Linked DNA regions of Rhinolophus ferrumequinum. The protein of the gene in region 2 binds, or shares a complex with, the protein of the main gene of each other region. Links are inferred from orthologs where the notes say so. Each region holds a gene or a part of one and is shown on either strand. Other genes may lie near its edges. The genes, in order: CACNG1 and CACNB3.

Region 1 (9,954 bases), on a different chromosome or scaffold from region 2:
AGGTGATTTAAAATCTCTGTTTAGTAAGTCCAATATCTGGGCTTCCTTAAGGATCTATGGGCTGCTTGTTTCTCCCTATGTGTGGGCCATCCCTTTTTAGTTCTTTGCATGTTTTATAATTTTTTTAAGATTTAAATTTAAAACTGGACAATTTAAACAACAGAGTTGTTTAAACTCTAGAAATCAGATTCCCACCCTTCCCCAGGGTTTGTTCCTGTTTCCATTTGTTCCTGTTGTTTGTTTAGTGATTTTTCTGAATTAATTTTGTAAATTCTATATTCTTTGTCACGTGTTGCCACTACAATCTCTGCTCAGTTAGTTTAGTGCTCAGCTCACAGAGGTTTCCTAAAATGCCTGGAACTAATACATCACCCAGTCTTTACTGAGGGGCTCCGTGCTAAGCAGAGCAGTCGGTGAAGCAGTCTACATTTCTGCCTTAGCCTTCACGTTCTGCTTGTTCAGCTTCAGGATGCGTCCGAGCTGAGAGCTTCAGGGTGGCTTCTCAGGTATTTCCTACGCTCTCACGTAGCACTGTGCCTACACATGGCCTTCTAAAGGCCCAGGAAGGAATCTGTCCAAACTTTTCAAAGCCACCTGTGGATCTCTCATCCTCCAGCTATTTGGTTAGCCTATCGTTTGTCCTAACTGTTACCTACTGCCTCAGGCAGTTGTGATATTAAATAATTGTTTCTAATTGTTTTTGACAAATGACCCCCCACTCCCCCCGCCCGGGGAAAAGACTGTTTCCCCTGGAGGAGCTCAGAGTCAGGTCAAATAAAGACAGCCTTGCAAACAGGGACTTGCAGGGAATCACCAGACGGATCAAATAATGACCGCTCTTTGGGAATGACACTTTGGAAGAGATCCAGCCCATTCTGTCCCCTCTGATGATGGCTGGCTACCAGGCTGCTGGTTTTCACTGTGATTGCAGGCTGGGGGTTGTCAACGCTGTGACAGAGTTGGGGGTGGGGTGGAAATAAGAATAGAGCAAGTTAAAACACCACAAAGCTCACTGTTCTTACTGAGGTTCACCCGTTTCTCTAGAATAAGCACTGCTGGATTGCTGCAAGACTGATTAATTTCCAGAGTTCTGAAAAAGTTTATGCTGATCATTTTTGCCAATGTTCTCATTGTTCTTATGGAGGAGAGGACTTTTGGAGGTTCTTACTCTGTCATTTTTTTTTCTCTGATATTCTCGTAATTCATATCTATAGAGCACTGAAAACAATGTTTTCCAGATAACTGCTCTGTCTGTGTTGGCAGTTGTTATTATTATCGTTGTTGTTAATAATAAATCAGAGAACATGTGTGATCTCTTTTCATCTATCTAGAAAACAGTGAACCCATAGAGCACAGGGAGGGTGGCTGGGGAAGAAAGAAGATTGTAGAGAAAAGGGAAAGGGAAGAAGGCAGGGATGCATGTCAGAAGCTTGTTTGGGGTAAGGCAGTGCTCACGAGTAGTATGGTTCACTCTGGATCAGAGTGAGAAGGCATAGAGATAGACTCAGCTCAGGTTCAAGGCCAAGCCATGCCTGTTGGTCCCCTGTGGCAGATTCGGTCACCTCCCACCAATCTGTCTCTTCCTTGTATAGACTTAGCTCACCTCCCTCCTCATCTGCTCTGTACACTCACCAGACTTTAAAAGGCAGGTGCTTCCAAGGACAGGTGGACAGGACCATATCAGTGCATTTCCGTGCATGGTCCCTGGAGAATCTGCCTCACCCTGCCCTGCCCTTCCCTGCCCAGTTGAGTTGGCTGGATAATGCATCTGTTTACGGGTGTGCTCAGCAGTGGCCGAGGGGCGTGGGCATCTGAGCTATGTGATACCCTTCCAGTGCATGTTCATGTCATTTAAAGCCCTCAGCCCTGGGACGCAATGTTTCCAAGACAGCTGGGTATTTACAAGTCTTGCGAGTATCCGGTGGGAATAAGCAAGGCAGGAGTTCCCTGGAGCCAGCAGGAGGGGAAGGAAGACGAAGGAGGGAAGAGGGAGGCACAGGGTTTGGGTTCCTTTGTCCCACACATACAGTGCAAGATGTGTGCAGACTTGGCACTGATTTCCTAGAAGGGCAGGTTTCAAGGAACACCCAGTCGAATGACAGAAGGAAATATTCTGAAAACCAGGTGGGACACCACACTCACCCAAATGCCCTGCCGCCTTGGAGTGATATTTGTAAGCACTGGAAGGGGTTTCATGTTGCTGACCCCAAGCACCATAGGAGGAGCCAGAGGCTGTGATGGGCTGTCACCCCACCCCACCCCACCGTCGTCATTTGGGGGGGTTATGGTCAATGTATGACTAGAGCCCTGGACTCTGATTCTCCAAGCAGCGTTCTTCCCTCGGCATGTGCTCTATTTGCTATGAGTGCAGAGGGTTCCACATTTGCAGAAGAGACCTAATTTGCAGAATACCCCACCCAGGTATTATTGAGAAGGAATTCACCTTCAGCGTGTCGTTTGGTCACATGGTAGGACATCGAGGAATGCGCTTATATTATAGAGGAAGAAAATGCGTTCCAACTCTGAAGGGGTCTGAGCCAAGAGAGGATGTATGGAAGGACCGACAGTTCTGACTAAAAGGCAGGTGGCTCATCTATAGCCAGGTACCTGCTTCACAAATGTGTGACCTGTGTAGTCAGTCACTGAAGGCCCTGCACCCAGAAGGGACCTAGGCTTGATTTCATGCTCTGCTGTCACCATCTTGAAATTCTTAAAAATAATTACAAGGAGCCCTGCATTTTCATTTTACACCAGGCCCTATAAATTCTGCAGCTGATCCTGTCTATACCCTGGAGGCTGGGAAAGAAGCCTCTATACCCTGAAGAAACAAGCCAGCCCCACAGGTCCCTTCCCTGGGGACATTGGGCCACTAGCCTGTCCTTGCACGGAGAGAGTGGAGCTAGGCACACCCAGAAAAGTGACTGCCGCTGGGGCCAGAAGCCCCTAGTCTGGCAGGTCCATGGTTCCTTTCCTGAGCCTCTCGTCCCACCTGAGCAGCCCTCTGCTCTGGGTAAAAAGCCCCAAGCCTCAGCAAGACAGAAATAGTGAGAGACAAATGCCCTCATTTTACAGCCCAACTCTGGCGGCCAGCACAACCTCATGCAATTCAGATCCTCTTCCCCGGACGCAGAGGGCTGTTCTAAGGCCGGAAAACCTACCCTCTTTCCCACTGGCCACTTTTCCAGGGGGGTGGGAAAGGGCAGGAAGCAGGGACAGGGGACAGAGACTGGGTACGTTACCTCCAGGCAGGGTGATGGGTCCGCAGCTCTTGTCCTTGCTGTCGCTCATGACAATAGTCTTGGTGCAAATCCGCCAGAGGCCAAAGTGGGCCGCCTCGCAGGTGGTGTTGTGGTGCTCTACCTGGGGGCTGAGCACAGCCCAGTGGTCGGTCACTACGGCCACCGTGGCCAGCACGATGCCCACCAGGATGCAGAAGAGCGTGGCGCGGATCTTCAGGGCTTTGATCTGGGACATGGTGGTCGCAGAGGAGCGTGTACTCTGGACAGAGTCCGGCGGCAGCGTCTCCTTGGGCAGGTGGCAGCCAGGCTGGGGTGGTGGCAGCAGTGATGGTGCAGGAGGTGGAAGCTAAGTTTAGTGTGCCTGGCCGAGCCAGAGTGGGCTGGCCTTGGGGCAGAGGGACACTGGACGGGGCTGAGCAGCTGCCCAGACGTGACAGGGGCCTGAGGGAGGCTTCTATTAATGCACATGGACAGGCACGCCACCGTCACCGAGGATGACTTCTTCTCGGGTTTCAGGGCTGTCTTCCTCTCACGGAGCCAGAAATACCCCAGGGAGGGGCAAGGAGGGAAGGATCTGGATGGTGACTGGAGACCTACAATGAGTGGCAGCTCAGGACACCTGAGGTGGGAGGGAGTGAGGCATAAGCAACAGGGAGACTCAGTGTGGAGTCTGCCTGCTCTGGCCTGAAGGAGAAAGGGCACTGCTGGGTGAGGGCAGGGGACCCTGGGAGATACGGTGGCACAGCTTTCGGTTATCACACTGGGCAGGGTGAGTGGGTCCTTGTCCGGGAGGCCTGGGGGACCCACAATCCTGCCTAGGGACACCTTGGGGATCCGCCCCGCCAGGGCCTCTGGAGCCCACTACTCAGGCAAGAGCTTTAGCTCAAGGCCTATGCCATCCCCCAAACGGCAGGAAGATTTCAGGTGGTTCCTGGGCCTGGCGTGGCCGGACACTGCCCAGCCTGAGAACATTATTTCTGGTTCCCTTCTCCCGTCTCTCCTATTTGGTCCAGAAGAGAAGCCCCGTTCAGGGTTAGTAAGTCTTTACCACCTTGCTGACACTTGCAAATCAAAGCGTGGAGAGGACACGGAATCCAGCGGGACCTGACTGTAGTTCTGTTTTGGTTTTACTGTTTTAGTTTTACCTCTATTAATTGTAGGTAATAAAGATTTTCCAGTTATGTTTCCATTTACAAAATAAATACATTTAAGTAAAAAAGAACAGAAGTAGATTGATTTATGGGTGACTACTGTGAGGCTAATGGGTGAGCAGAGGCAGCAGAAGACGTGAAAGTTTGGGACCACCATCCGAGGGCCTGTCTGCCCACATGACCCCCAGGCTGGTCTCCAGGCCCCTACACCCCTCCTGGGTTCGGCCTCTTCTTCCTCAGTTCACCAGGTGCCTCTTTTGGGGTGTATCTGAGGTTAATGCATAGCCACAAATAAACCCCTGAGCTGGCCAGGGCTTTGAGCTTCAAAATCCTGGCCTCCGGGTGGGGGCCCGACACCCGGGGTCCACGCAGTGTCAGCTGCACCCACATTGCAGGTTCCTCAGACAGCCAGGCTGCACCTTCCCTCAGTGGGGGGCAGGTTTGTGCCACATGCAGGGGTCCTGAGTCCTCCAACCCAGCCAGGAAAGATTGATGTCTCTTCCTTCAGAAGTAGTCGGGCTGTACATCTCCCACGGCATTGGCAGTGCCAGGCACTGCAGGCAGGTCTCCTTTCTCTCTCTCATTTACTAAAAGCTCCTTCAAACAGACCATTTCTGCTCGTGGAAGCCACTGCCAGGCTGCTCGCTTGGCACTTCCCAGGGCCTTGCTGGGCCAGGAAGGGGGCTCCAGCATTTGCTGGGAGCCAGGGCTGGGGGACGTCAACGTCCTCCACACAGGTCCTACCTTTTCCAGGTCATCAGGAAAGATGGCTTCTTAGGGACTGGGAGTCAGCCTGCCAGTGATGGAACGGACAGCCCCAGGGTCAGGTCCCCGCTCTGCCAATCTCTAGCTGTATGGCTTCCAGCAAGCCATTAACCTCTCTAAACTGCCCTTTCCTCATCTATAAAATGAGGGCAATGGCAGCTGGCTGGGGAGCTGCTGTAGGAGTAGAGATAATGGATTTATCAGTTTAGCCTGTGGTAGGTGCTATGGACTGAATTATCCGCCCCCCCCCCATTCATATGTTGAAACCCAAACCCCAGTGTAATGGTATCTGGAGACGGGGCCTTTGGTGGGTGATTAGGGTTAGATGAGGTCATGAGGGTGGGGCCCCGTGATGCGATTAGTGTCCTTCTAAGAAGAGCCACCAGGGGGCTTCCTCTCTCTCTTTTTCTCTACCGTGTGAGGACTCAGTGAGAAGCTGAAAGCCGAGACTCTCACTAGAACCCACCCAGGCTGGCACCCTGATCTAGGACTGAAGGGAGAGCTGTGAGAAATAAATTTCTGTTTTTAAGGTCACCCAGCCTGTGGTATTTTGTTATGGGAGCCTGAGCTGACTAATACAGTAGGCAACTGATCCAGGATGGCTGTTATTATTATCGATAGACTGCAGATGGATCAGCTTTCTCTGATGGGAAGATAGAGACGGGGAGACCGTATTATGTATTCATTTTGGGTCCCCTTAGAGAAGCCCCCTAGGTCTGAGCCCAGGATGGGATCTCCATAAATGTTTGTTGAATGACTGATGGATGGATGATGGACTCATGGATGGAAAGAAGAAGGAGATAGAAGCTTAGATAATTTACTCCACTGGGTGATCCAAAGGACATTTCTATGTAGCTTAAGGCCACACGGAGCCCCGGGACAGCTTGAATTAATGGCTAATTTACCTCCAGGTGCAGAGGGACACCCCAGGAAGGCACTGTCGTCACCTCTGCGACCAAGTTCTGCCTGCCTGTCACAGCAGCCTCCTGAGATAGGACATTATCTTCAAAGTAGATGTGCCACACTGAGAAATTTGGTAATTGTCTGTATTTTCCTCATTCAGATGAACCCGTTTCCATTTATCCCAAGTGACTAATCTTTTCCCAAGAAGGACCAGACATAACTAGGGGAAAGAAAACACCTCCCAGAGGTGGGCCTCATTCAGAGCTAGGACCAGGTTACGCCTGGGTGGGGGCCCAGTAACCCCTCTTTGGCGATACGCTGATCTAATTTGAGCTCAGGCTTAATTGGGCTAAGAAATGGCCTTGCGTGTTTGATCTTAAGATCCTGTATAAAAAAGCAAGGCACCACCCAATTGGTCCCAACCTTTTACTCCACTCCCTCTGCCTCCTGTCACTGTTCATCTGGGACTCTCTGTTGCATCAGGCTTGCTGCCTCCAATTCTATCCGGTGCCTCTGTCCAGAAGCCTTCCATTTGCAAAGCAGTTAATCGCATCACTCTGACCTCTGCTTCTGTCATCGCATCTTCATCTCTGACTCTCCTGCCTCCCTCTTCTTTCCCTTCTACAGACCCGTGTGGTTAAGGTGATAATCCAGGAAAACCTCCCTGTCTTTAATGTAATCACACCTGCAAAGTCCCGTTAGCCGTGTCAAGTGACATAGTCACAGGTTCCAGGGATTAGGACTTGGACATTTTAGGGGCCGTTATTCTGTCTACCACAAGCATCGATTTTGAACTTGCTTGATGTTCTCTGGCATCACTTCTTAGCTCAGGTGCAGGGATGGGGAAGATGGAAGGTGAGATTGAAAGAGGGCTGAGGCTCTTTCAGGAGAGAAAAGATAGAAAGAAAAGGGCCCAAGGGAACTGAGGGCATCGGCAAGGGTGAGTTTAAATGATGACTTGCCATGTCTGGGCTGGTTAGGATGCCCGGCAACGAGGAGGTGTCAACATATTAGGAGGAAATTGAGAGGTCAAGGCCCGGAAGGGTTTGATGAGGTTGGAGAACAGCTGTAGTGGTGAAGGAAATGGGAGCACTGGAAGTTGCGGTCAGAGAGGAGGACGTAGCCCTGAAGATTACAGGGGGGACAGTCAGGGCTGATGAGAAGATCCAGGTTGGAGATGAAGGGCAAGGGAGGTGAGAAGGCAGAGCTGTGAGGCCAGGGAGTTGGAATGGCCGGCCCCACAGATGTTGATGTGGCTCAGTTTGATGGTGGTAGGACTTGGGGAGCAGAAGAGGGCTTTGAGCTAGATGCGAAGTTCCTGATGAACATAAAGGTGTGGGCGGAACGGGGTTGGGGAAATGACAGTGATGAGAAAGGGTTCAGGATGGTCTACCCAGGCCCTCAGAGAAGGCTTTTCCCCAGGAGGGGGGAGGAGTGATGGTTTGGCGGTATCAGCGCCCCCACCTTCCCCTGTCCTGCAATTATAAATCCAAGGACGTGAGTTCATGACCTTCTCTGATTGCAGACTTCTGTTCCTGAGGTTGCACCAGCAGTTTTGTAGGAAGCTGCAAGTTTAAAAATATCTGTATCAGGTGTATCTGCCCCAGTCTTCCTCTGGATCCTAAGGTCCCTCAGATCCCCTTTCTGCTTTTCCAGCCCCACACCTCTTGGGACTGGGCAGCCAGGAGCATTACATTGGGAACCTGTGCAGGGAACCCCAGCAGAAATATGGACAGCTTTCACCAGGATACTGGGGAAAGGAGTGTCCTTGGAAGAGAGGATAGTTTCATTGATCCCAGCACGTGGAGGGAGACCTCAGTAAGGAGATTTTAAGATGTGTGGAGTTCCAGAGGGAGATGGAGGATGGAAAGGTTGGAGGGTGGAGAAGAAGCCTAGAGCCAGGTGAGGGTCCTGGAGAGACAAGGGGGACAGATTATATCTTCCCAAAGTGGCCACAGCACCATTTCTGCTCCCACATGTTCTTCCAGAACCTCGTCACTCCCCATGAACAGGTGGAACCTATTTCCTCTCCCCTTGAACTTGGGCAGGTTTTTGACTGTTCTAATACGTCAAGTACAGAGGAAGTGATGCTATGTGACTTCTGAGACTGCCACCTTTCTCTCTTGCTCTGGGACCCTTGCCCTTGGACCCAGCCACCATGCTGTGAGGAACTTCAGGCCACCCAGAGAAGCCACGTGTACATAGTCAGGCTGAGGACTTTGCCACTAACCAGCATCACCTGCAGGACATGTGCGCAGACGAGCCTTTAGATGAAGCCAGCTCCTAGCTATTGAGCCTTCCAGCCGAGGCTCCACTCTGGAGCAGAGAGAAGCCATCCTGAGCCTGTCTTTCTATCAGGCAGAGGTAAGACTCTGTGACCATATTTAATACTCGTTTATTGCCACTAAGGTTTGGTGTAATTTGTTACACAGCCCTACTAACAGATGCAGTCTGTGACTGGGAGGAATTCTGTTCTGTGTGGCTGAGGATGGCTAAGTGTAAGGCCGTCTGAGAGGAACCTGGTGTGAGGTTGCTCCCTAGCCACCTGGCAGGGAGTGTGGGAGGGGCGACTGTTATCCCCAGAGCCCAGACACCCAGGTGAGAACGTAGACAAGATCCTGACAGTGTTTGGAGGGGGATCTTTCCATCAGCCTCTAGCATAAATCTGGACCAGAAGATCACAGTGAGAAGTTGTCAGATCTTAACTGGATGCATCCTGAGTATCCCAGTACTTTGTTCTCATTCAGATTCCATTTATGATCTAGGGAGCAAATAAGCCACATCCGGCAATAGGACACGTTAGATAAATGGTGATATCTCTGTTTTATGCAGCCCTTAAAGATTATGGTTTTGAGGAATATTGAAAGGTGGGAAGATTCTCATGATGAAAAACAGTGGACAGAGACAGGGGACTAAGCCGTATCCACACACACATTTGGGTACCCTGAAATGTTAACCGTGCTTATGGCGTGGGTAGTAGAATGATGGCTGACATTGTTTTCTTCTTTAACTGTGCTGTATTTTTCATGTATTTTTAGGTAAGCTGTAATACTTTTTAGAATTAACAAAATAAGTATAATGTTTTTTAAAAAACATAAGTATATTGTTTTTAAAATGATCTGGTTATTTATAACTTAATTTGTGAATTCTGGAGATCCCGCAGGGGTTACTGTATCTCCAAGGAAACATACCAAGGGACGAAGGTCAGGATGGAGGTCCCTCCAAGCCCCCTTTCCTGCAATTGTAAGCACAAGGAGGTGGGTCCCTAACCCTCTTTGATATCATACTTCTGTTCCCGAGGTTGCCCTGGTAGTTTTGCTGGAAGCTGCAAGTTTAAAAACATCTGTATCAGGTATATCTGCCCCATCTGCCCCTCTGGATTCTAAGGTCCCTGGGCAGTCCCTCCCCTGCCCTCATCTCTAGGACTGGACAGTCGGGGATGCTATATTAGGAACCAGTGCAAGGAGCTGAAGTCACACAGGGGGGCCTCCCCTCCTGCCTCCAATTCTCTTCCCTTTCTCTCCCTTCTTCTTCCCCTTCCCCCCCCAGGCCTCTCCCCTTTGCTAGCTCCACACTAGGGACCTAGAACAAGACTCCTGTTTGTGCAGCCCGGCTGCCAGGGCACCTGAGAGTGGTCAGGACCAGGCTCTTGCAGCCCGCGTCACCTGTGTGAAATCAGGAATGCCCCAGTGGGATTTAGGGGTTGCGGGACCTGCAAAGAGAGCAGCAGCCATGTGGCTGCCTTGAGCACCAGAATTCCACAGCTGGGGACCCCTGAGGGCAGAAATGCATGGGCATCAGCCAGAGGAACAGCTGGGGGAGGACCCCTCTCCTAGAGGGAGAGTCCTGCATGGTACCTGGATTGGCTGGATGACAGGTTTGTCCCAAACCAGAGT
Region 2 (9,862 bases):
CTTAGGTCTCATCTTCCCCAGTCCCTACCTTTCCAGGTTGAAGGGGACACAGAGCTACCAACTCCTGGAAGTTACTTCCTCTATACTCTCTCCGCCCATCCCCACCCCCCATCTTCTTTCCTCTCACACCTGCTGGGGCAACTGGCCAGGTGTGGGCAGCAAAGGACACCAACTAAGAAGGCAACACAAAGCTATCTCCCTGGGTGTGTGAGGCTGGGCCACACCCACCACCTGGCCCATATCTCCCCACCCCTCCCCCAAGGGGCCTATCCTGGAGGAAGGCCATGTTGGTGCCCGGCAACCCAGCCAGGGGAGCAGTACCCTGAGGATGTAGGGGTGGGGTCTTTGGTAACCTTAGCCAAGAAGAGTGTCTGAGTCCTGCCCATTGGCAGGTCTTTGGGCAACGAGGGTGCATTTGGAGGGTTGCAGAGCTCACCTTCAAGGCTGTGAGAAAGACGTACAATTGAGTAAAGGAAGCTGGATCTTAGGACAGGAGTGTAGAAGTCAGGATGTCTGGGTGTCCCTCTCAGCCCAGGGAAAAGGGGAGCTTTTGTTTTCTGCCTCAGTTTCCCCTCTTTATGATCAGAGGCCTGAAGTAGCACTTCCATCAATTCTGAGGTCCAAGTGGCAGAGACAAATAGGAGCCTAGTTCGGGTCCATGTGGGAATGTGTGTGTATTAACAGAAGCGGTTTTAGGATATTCTCAACCTGAGGAACATTCCTTCAAGTCCGCGGTGCATGAGCACCTACAGAAGGCAGCAGAGGCCAGAGGTCAGTGGAGAAGACAGATTCAAACACCTGCTGTCGCCATGCCCTCTGCCCCAGTCCCACCATAGGCAAGAAGGCAGGTCAGCTTGATATCTGCCCAGGCTCTAGATCGTAAGCTAAAGTCAATGTCTGGGGTAGACGGAAGACACAAAGACAGCACAGGTGGGAAAGTCTCCTTTTACAGAGGAGGAGATTCTGCCTGCTGTTCCTCATCTCTCTTGAGAAGAAAATAAGGCTGGCTTGGCAGTAGGATAAAGGGTGCTGAGCCCCAGAAAGAACCTTTGCATTGTTAGTAGAGTGTGGGATCTCCTTCCAGGGGTCTTAGATGTATGAGGGGTCTTAGATGTAGGAGACAGCTGAACGAAGGGAACAGGGGACAACAGGCCAGGAGGCAGGAGGTAAGGCCGGATGATCATTCACTTTGATAAGTATCCATCAGATGCCTCTTAGATGCCCTGACCTGTGCTGGAAGAGGAGTCTGGCCTTTATCTCGGCTCTCCAGGCTCTCAGCCTAATTTAGTCATCTTAATGTCCCTCCTGGGGTATCTGGGTTACCTGGCCTCTCATTCTAGGATGGGAAGGATAGAATCTCTCCCTAAATGTTTAATGAGTCAGGTTCAGAATGGAACCCCCTGTCTATTATTCCCAAGTCCTCAGAGTTCACCATCTTTCATGCTCTGGTATCACTTGGGGAGGTCAGGGCTGCCCTTCCAGGCCTACTCTGGGGTCTTGCCTTCCCTACCCCACTATGCCAGAGCAGCCAGAGGCTCAGTACTTTGGAGCTGCCAGGAGTTGGCACAGTGCCCTAGTGGTGCCCCCCTTGCTTGGTGAGTGTGTGGGCAGGCTGCAGCTCCACTCTTGCCTGGCACGGGGGAAGGAGAGGAGGGAGATGAGCCAGTGGCTTTATTTAGAGCCTGATCTCCCTCCTACTGCTTCAGAGGGGGCCTCAGGGAGAGCAAGGAGCCAGGCAAGAGAAAGGGAAGTTGGGGAGGGTGATCCAGGGCCCAGAGAGGGGTGAGAAGTGAGCAATGGGTTAGCGGGCTGCCCCCAACGCCACCCACATGTCAGTCTTTCCCTTGAAACAGCTCTTGCCTTACTACCAGTGATGGGAAGAATCTTCTAGGGCCCTCCAGCCAAGCAGGAAGGTTTGTTCTCAAGCTCACCTTGGCACCCTGGGCCATGCCAGCTGTCTCTTCAACTGTCACAAAGAGGTGTCCACCAGAGCCTTGAAAATCATCTGCTCTAGCTGCCATGTAATTAGGCCCAGAGGCCCAATGGGGAATTGGCCCAGCAGGAGCCCAGGAAAGGACTGATAGCTGCCTATTCTGAGCCCTAGAACTCATCTATCCTGGGCTGGGCAGCAAGAGATGGGAGAAGACTCAAACACTCCACTTTCGATCCTGGAGTGCTCTACCCTCCACACCTATCAAGGACCCCTTCCAAGCCATCTAGTGGTCCTCTTCTAAGGAGGCCTTCTTGCAGGATGTTTGAGAGAAGGCACTGAGAAGCTGCTCCCCATCTTTGCTCCATCCTTCCAGTCACTCTCCATGCTCCCTGAGCTCCGGGAATCACTGACTAATGAGCTGATTTGTCTCAGTGGGTCAGGAGATAAAAGCAAAAAGGAGAATTAAATATTTATCGGTTGCCTGGTTCTCTGAGCAAAGAGCTTCCTCTCCATCCCCAGGCCCTCAGCTCCTCTGGCTTCAGCTCCAGGTCCTCCATGCTGAGAGGAGCTCAGGGTGCCTGCTGTTCTGAGGATGCCTCAGCAGGAGGCACGGACAGGATGGGGCTCAGTCAGCTGGCCCACCCATGTGCTGGGTGCCCACTTTGCAGCCTGGGAGAGAAGCTGGGCTAAAGGCAGGGTGAAGAGATGAGGCAAGCTCAGGATGGAAGGGGGAAGGAATAATGGAGGTCTTCAAGTTTTGTGATCTTTCTGTCTGAAGAGGCTGGTACCCGATTCTCTGGTGTTCTCTCAGGCTCCCTAAATTTGTCCTGTATTTGTGTCATGGGAGGTCTGGATTGTCCCTCTCCCCAAGAAATTCAGCTTCTCCTCTGAAAGCGGTTGTGTTCAGACCCGATCAATCCACCTGTGGGAACTTGAGACATGTCGTGTGCCCTTTCTAAAGCCCCTGTTCCCTCAGTCTCTAGCCCTTCCTCCCTCTACCCTCTGTTCTGGGCTTTGGAGCCACTTGCTCGAGCCTTCCCCTCACACTACTCCCTCCCTGCACACACCCCGAGCTCCTTGGTCTAGGATTGGGGTACCGAAGAGCCCGCGGCACGAAAATCATCGCCCCAATTTCCTGGAGCGCCCCCAACCCCCCGCAACGCTCTTCCCCGCCACGTTTTTTCAAAGTCCTGGACTGGGAGAAGGGTCCAAGGGAGAGCAAGTGTCACCCCAACTTCCCCACCCCCACCCTCATCGTGGGCACTCACCGCCTCCGAGTCCTCAAACCCGGGCACGTAGGAGTCGTCATACATGGGGGAGTCCGGGTGGGGGGAAGCGAGCGGCGCCGGGGGCGGGAGCGGCCTGGAGGCAGGGGCGAGGACAGCGGGCCGCGCCCGATAGATGCCACCGAGCCCCGCAGCCCTGCGGGCGGCGGCGCAGAACCAGAGAGCGCGAAGGAGGGAGCGAGCCGCGAAGACCAGCTGCTCGGAGCTCAAATCACCGCTTACCCCCACCCCACCCCCCAAACCCAGCCAGTCCCACCCCGAGCGCGGCTGAGGAATCTGGCGCTGGCTCCTACAACAATAGTGCCCGCCCACCTGACCCCCCTCCCCGGGAGCAGGCGGGGGCGGCGACTGGGGCGCCCGCCACCCGGGGAGCCCGAGACCCGGCTGGGAGAGGGTAGCGGACGGGAGCTGGGTAGAAGGTGGGTCCCCCAGCACCTACGGACCCGAGGGGCGGCGGGGAGGAAGGGGAGGAGAGACAGGGCGGGCGGATCCAGGCTGGGAGAAGGCGGGGCGAGGAGAGATGCGGAGACTGAGACGCTCGGCAACCCAGGAAATACTCCGCCGGGAAACAAAGGGCTGGAGCGGTGGAGGGGAGGGGGAGCGGAGAGGCGGAGGGAAAGGAGACCCGAGCCGAGAAAGAAGCGGGCGCAGGTTATTGGGAGGCAGAAGAGGGAGAAAGGAGAGATAGAGGCAGGAGACAGGCGGGGGAGACAGGAAAATGGGGAGACAGAAGAGGCGGGGCTGGGGCAGGCGCAGACGGGGGAGGGGCCCCAGGTGAGCGGGAGGCGTGTCTGGGCCCTGGCGGTCCCTGAGACTCCAAAAGCGAACCCCGTAATGGCACTGGGGAGGAATGGGTTTGGCGACTCCACGTCAATGCCACGAAAGTAGCTCCTGCCACACCAGGTGCTCGGCCCTCTCATTGCACCCTGCAGCAAGGGGCCGTGTCGCCCAACCCGTGCAAAAGGGCAGGTTTTGGGTCCGGCCGCCCTACACCTGGTGCGCAGGCAGATTTCATCCTAGTCTGGCCAGGATGGGGGGTTCCCTTACTCACTTCCTCGCCGAAGACTGTGCCAGGCATTGCCAAGGCACCCGTGGGAATTGGGACAGGGAGGGGCTGTCTTAGGTGAGCCTAAGGGACCGGGAAAGAAACCAGAAGGTGGAGGTAGGGGGATTGTGGCTGTGACAGAAGGTGGGGTCCTGGACAGACTGGGGTCGGGAGGGGGAAGGACAAATCTGGCCAGAGTCATTAGCTTAAGGCCAGATTTTCTCCTTAGCAAAAGGATGGGGTTGGAGTGGCCGGTATCCCCGTTGTAGCCACAGGTACCACTCTGCACCAGTCAGTCTCCTTTAAAGGAGCATTGAGACTTGAGGTTAGAGACAGAGCAGCAGCAGCCCTTATTTTGAGCCAATTTCCCCAAAGATCCACCTATTGGAGCTCCCTCCTTTTTTTCCATCTCCAGAGCAAAAGTATTCCTTTGAATTTTGACTGCCTATGGGCCCCCCTCGCACCCACCACCTAGAGGGGGATGTGAGATGACAGAAGGTTACCACCTGGAGAACTTCGAAGCTCAATCCTTCTCCATTCCCAGTTTTTCACCCCTAGGAGGGTGAATCAAGAATCTACTCATCCCTTTACATTCCTGGGCTACAGTGGAATTAGAAAACCAAAACTGACAGGGTTTGATGAGACCTATGGGAGAAAGCACTGTTCATGGGAGAGAAAGACCATCCAAACCAACTGGCTTCCTACTTATGTCACTTGTTCTGTTGGCAAGAAAAAGAGAGAAAGGGCCTACTCTTAAGACCGTCTTTAGTCTGCCTTCAGTCTGTCTAACCCTGTGAGTGGTGTAGTTCAGCCCTGCACAGCCTCTTCTTCCTGCTGGATCTGGCAAACAATTTTGTTGGAGCCCCAATGGCTGAGGGGACCAATCACTACTGGGAGAGGCAGTCCGCTTTCCCAGTTCCCTCTCCTGAGTCCAGCATCATTTGGAGGTTGGTCATATATTGGACTCTTCTGTCTTGGAAGTTCCCAGACACGCTGTCTTCTCACTTTTGTTTCCTTTCCCAGTTCCTCAGAATCCCTATATGCTCCTTTTTTATTCTCTGCCTCTTCAATTCCTTCCGTTCTTCCAGAGGGGCGAAAAGAAGGCATGAGGTGTAAGAGAATATGACCCTCAACGTGCCCTCTCCTGGGAGGTAACTCTAATGAAGAAGACAGCTGCTGAGGCATCTGCTTCTCTCCCCATCTTTGAATCCACTCTCCTGGCCTCTCCTTTTGGGAATCCCCACCACCAGGGCATCCCAGGGACTGTAGGTAACAGTGGATCTGCTATGAGCTTCATTCCTTCCTCACACAACTTGTTGTAAAGACAGCATCCCCATACAGGACAATGGTGTCTAAGTCTCCTTTGGTCTCCCTCCTGAAGCATCTGAAGCATGAGTTGCTATGCCAACCACCCCCAGGAGATAGGTTCAAGTTCCTCTTACCTGGGTCCATCCCCTGGGTCTCACACGGCTTCAGAGCCTCTCTCTCTCCCTTATCTCTGAGTTGCTACTCAATACCCCCTTCCACTTCTCACCTCACCCACACCTGTCTACTCCAGTTTTCATGCCAACCTAGTGACTTTCTGTCCTGTAAAAAGACATGTGCCTGTCAGTGTCTTGTGGCCCCTAACCCCTTTTCTTTCCCATGACTGAGCATAAGGGAAGAGAGCTGAGGAAAAAAAAAGGAAAAGAAAAACGGATTCCAGGAGAGGATTCCTCCTTCCCTCCTCTTATTAGGAGAGAGCTGTTAGACTGGCAGCTAGCAGGTACCCAAGGCAAGGAAGCAGGACATAGGAGGAAAGCCTGAATAACCAGGTTTGGGAGTTGGAGTTTTGGGAACCTCTAGAATACTTTCTAGCTTCTCCTATAAGTGTACCAAGAAGCGGAGCAGATTCCAGTCCCTGATCATTGAATGAGGAAACTGAGGCAGGAGCTAGGACCTCTGGGAAGTCCTCCACAGCAGTCTATAAGATCTGGACCAAACCAAATATCCCAATGTTCTAGCTGCAAGGCTGCCCCCAGGGAACCTGGGGAGGGTTGGGTGGGGGGAGTTTGGCAGAGCCCTCCTCTCTCTGTCCTCTTTTCTAGCTCCCCAGTCAGTCCTCTCCTATCCCAGTCCCAGTGCTTCGAGGCTGCCAGCTCTGTCTGCTCCTTTTTTTCTTACCCCCTCATTCACCCTTAGCCTCACCTTTGGTTTCCCTCCCTCTCCATCACTGCAGTCTCCCCCAAATACGGCCCTTTTCCTAGCTTGGAGTGGGGCTTTTCTCCCACCCCTGGGGAGGGGCCCCCCCCCCCCGTTTACCTCATTCAGCAGGAAGGTTGCACTGGAGTCAGAAAAAGACATAGACCGGACTAGCGGCCTCTCCCCCTCCCCGGGGCCAGGGGCTCCGAGGCGGGAGCAGGACCCGGCCGCAGCTCTGCACAAGGGCTGCTGCCTGTACGCCTGGCCTCGCCCCACGCCCGCCTGGCTCCACCGCCTGCTCCCTTCCCTCTCTCCAGGTTCCCTCCCCCTTTCCTCTTCCCTCCCTTCCTCCCTCTCTCCCTTTCTCGCCTTCTCTGTCACTCTCGCCCTCTCCCGTCGCCTTTCAGTCCTGCTCTCTCCATTTCCGTCTCATCTTCTTCCTCTCTACGGTTCCTGTTCTCTGTTTATCGGGTTGCCTCCCACTGTCCTTCCATCCATAAAGCTCTCATCCCTTTTCCGCCTGCCCACCCTCACTTCTTCCTCTATCCCCTCCCCAGAAAAGGGACTCAGGAATTCCCACCGCCGCAGGCAGAAGGGCGTGAGTAGCTCAAGGGCTGCCCGACTCTGGAGCTTCGGTCAGAAGGTTCTGATCCCCTGACCCCAGCTCGGTGCTCCCACGCCCAGCCTCCAGCGCCCGAGAAAGGAAAGCACCCTGGTCCCGGTGGCGGCTCCGACCGACCTCAGCAGAGGAATGGATCGAAAAAGAACGCTCATGTACTGCTAGCTAGCCCCAGCGTCAAGGCGCCCCCTCTGGATTTCGGGGAAGCCACGTCCATCCGCCGTCCCAGGCCCAAACCCGGTGGCTCCTGCGGGATCGAATTGGAGACAGTCTAACCAGGACGCGCCCGGCGCCTGGGGAATCTCTACCGTCACTGCTCTCTCCTAGGTGCTAGCGCCGCGGGACTCAGCCTGTGAAGGCAAAGAGTGAGGCTTGGCGGCTCCTCCCCCACCGGCTGCAGCGCCCCCTGGACTCACTAGCCGGGTGGCGGCACAAGCCCTCCAGGTGGCGGCACCGGCCCGGGGGTCCTTTCTGTCCGCAGGCAGGAGTTCGGCCCTACCAGTAGGAGGCGCTGCCCTGGCCGGAGCAGAGGGTGCGCAGCTCCGAGCCCGACCCCCACCGAAGCCCGGGATAAACCTCTCTCCCTCGCGTCTTTCCAGGAGCTGCGGTCCCATTTCCAGACCCCTAGTATGGAGACTCCAGGCTGCACTCTATTCCCACTCCTGTGGGGCTCTTTTTAGATACTTGGTCCCCCTGGAGCTCTAGATCCCTCCTACCTCCATCCTGGTCTCCAGAGGCGACAAGGCTGAGCCTGGCAGCGTCCCGGTAGGGCCAGGCCGGGCGGCCGGGAGTACACAGTCGTGGGACGGCTCCTCGGGTCGGTACCCCTCCCGCCCCCTTCGGCGGGCACGTCAAACAGGACAAGCCCAAGTTCTGGCGGGGGAAGGGGGGAGCAGGGGTGTATCCCCAGCCAGCTCTCTCCCTGCACCCTCTGAACGGATCAGCCTCTCATTGGTTCCTCCACACCCCCAGCACCCCGATGCTGGACTCTTCTCCATACCAAAGAGGACGGCTAGGGGGCCGGGAGGGTGTCGTAGATCCCCTTGTGGAAACGGACACACCCTGAAGCTGAATGACCCGGGTCCCCAACTTCTCCTTAGCACCAGCTAGAACTCTTTCCTTTCAGGTCCAGGGCGCTTCACTGCCCTCCTCGCCCTTTTAACTCCCTTGCCCGGGTGGTTCCTGGTATCCCTCCCCTCAATCCTCCTATACCCTGGGGATCTTGGAAGACATCCCTCCCTCTGTGTTTAGCTGATCCTCCAATTGCCCTCATTCCAGAGGGAGCTAAATTGGGGGAGAATTAATTCTCCTCTCCACCCCCAGCTCCTCCTCAAGCTGGACTTAACCGGGAAAGCGCTTTGGGAAGTCACTTCCCTCCCTCTGTGGTGTAGTCCAGTGAGTCCAAGGATTCCCCTACCACCTACCTACCCCCAAGTCACTCAGCTTCAACTATTCAGACGAGACATAGAGGTTGTGTATGTTTTTGTAAAAATGTGCATAGAGGTTTTTATGTTTGTTTTTTGTTGTTTGGTTTTTTTTTTTTTTTTTTTGGCTCTAATAGAGGGAGCAGAAGCGTTCCCTTTCATTTGGCATTAAGACCTGAAGGGAGAGAGCCCTCCCTCCCCCATACTCCCCCGCTGACCACAGCTAATGGACTAGCTCTTCTGGGCCTTGGGGCAGCTTTAGTTTCCATAGGAGAAGGGGGGTGGGGTGGGGGGTGCTGGCCAAGTCAAGCAATTGTCCCTGGCTTCTCCCTCCCTCCTTCCTTCCCTCCACTCTTTGAGAACCTACAGCCTAGAACACCATCTCTCTCCACTCCTTTCTTTAAAATAGAAATATCAATGACTTCTCTCTGAACCTATCAGAGGGAATCTGAGGTGAATAGAGGCAGCTCTGCAACCTTCACTTTTTCTCATTTTCACTCCAGCTGCTGGATCACACACCCCTCTCCCTTCTGCCAGGAAGAGAAGGTAGGAACCTCAGAGCTAGAGCTGGGAGCCCAGCCCCCAGGTCCCCAGAACTGTCCTCTCTTAGCTGGCCCCCCAAGATCCCCCCAGATGACTGGCAAAAACAACCCTCTTTGGGCTCTGTCTGGGACCCACACCCTTTTCCTCCCTGCATTTTCTCACTCAGGTCTCCATCTCCTGCTGACCTTACAGTATCTGTCACCCTGCTAAGAGGGGCCTCTAGCCTGCACACATTTCTGGGAGCCATACCTTAGTGCTGGCCCCTTCAGGTCCTTAAGCCAGCATATGGCCCCTAGAGCTTCCCAGGAAGCCTTTATCCCTTCTCTCTTGGGATCTCCCTCTCTCTGGGAGGTCTGCTCACCCTATTCTCTGACCTCCCAGACCCCAGGTTGTCAGGACCTCAGGATATTTGGCAGGGCCTCTGCTCACGCTTTGGGCCAGTCTTTGTGTAGACCCAGCTCTGCACCAGCTCTACAGTTAGGTTTCAATCCCCGCTTAACCTCCTCAGCAAGGCATAACCTGCACGATTGTACTTAGTGGCTTAGCATTTGAAAATCTGTATACTACAAGGACAGAGAACAAAAATTACCATGTCCATCCTTTGTATCTATTCCACTGAGACCAAATAAGTTCTCCCCGGCTCTTCTGAGCAAGCTTGGAAATAGCTTCCACAGGGAATCCCCATTGCCAACTCCAGATATTACTTTGGGGAAGTTCCTCCAACATCAAACCTCAATCTCTCCTGCTGCGATCTCTCTCTCTCTTTTTTTTTTTTTTTTTTTTTTTTTTGGGGCTCTGCCTCTGGGCCCATGGTGATATTTGATCCTTCTA

What was found.
Region 1: CACNB3 (region 2) and CACNG1 share a complex: the UniProt entries of both Homo sapiens proteins name them as parts of the calcium channel complex. The link is inferred for Rhinolophus ferrumequinum from reciprocal best matches to the Homo sapiens genes CACNB3 and CACNG1.

What each region holds. Positions count from the first base shown.
Region 1 is NC_046304.1:43,755,785-43,765,738, forward strand, and holds the start of CACNG1 (voltage-dependent calcium channel gamma-1 subunit), read right to left. Parts: upstream 3,676-9,954; 5' UTR 3,475-3,675; coding exon 3,240-3,474; intron 1-3,239. UniProt on the Homo sapiens protein: Regulatory subunit of the voltage-gated calcium channel that gives rise to L-type calcium currents in skeletal muscle. Regulates channel inactivation kinetics.
Region 2 is NC_046293.1:49,937,987-49,947,848, reverse strand, and holds the start of CACNB3 (voltage-dependent L-type calcium channel subunit beta-3), read right to left. Parts: upstream 3,918-9,862; 5' UTR 3,247-3,917; coding exon 3,202-3,246; intron 1-3,201. UniProt on the Homo sapiens protein: Regulatory subunit of the voltage-gated calcium channel that gives rise to L-type calcium currents. Increases CACNA1B peak calcium current and shifts the voltage dependencies of channel activation and inactivation.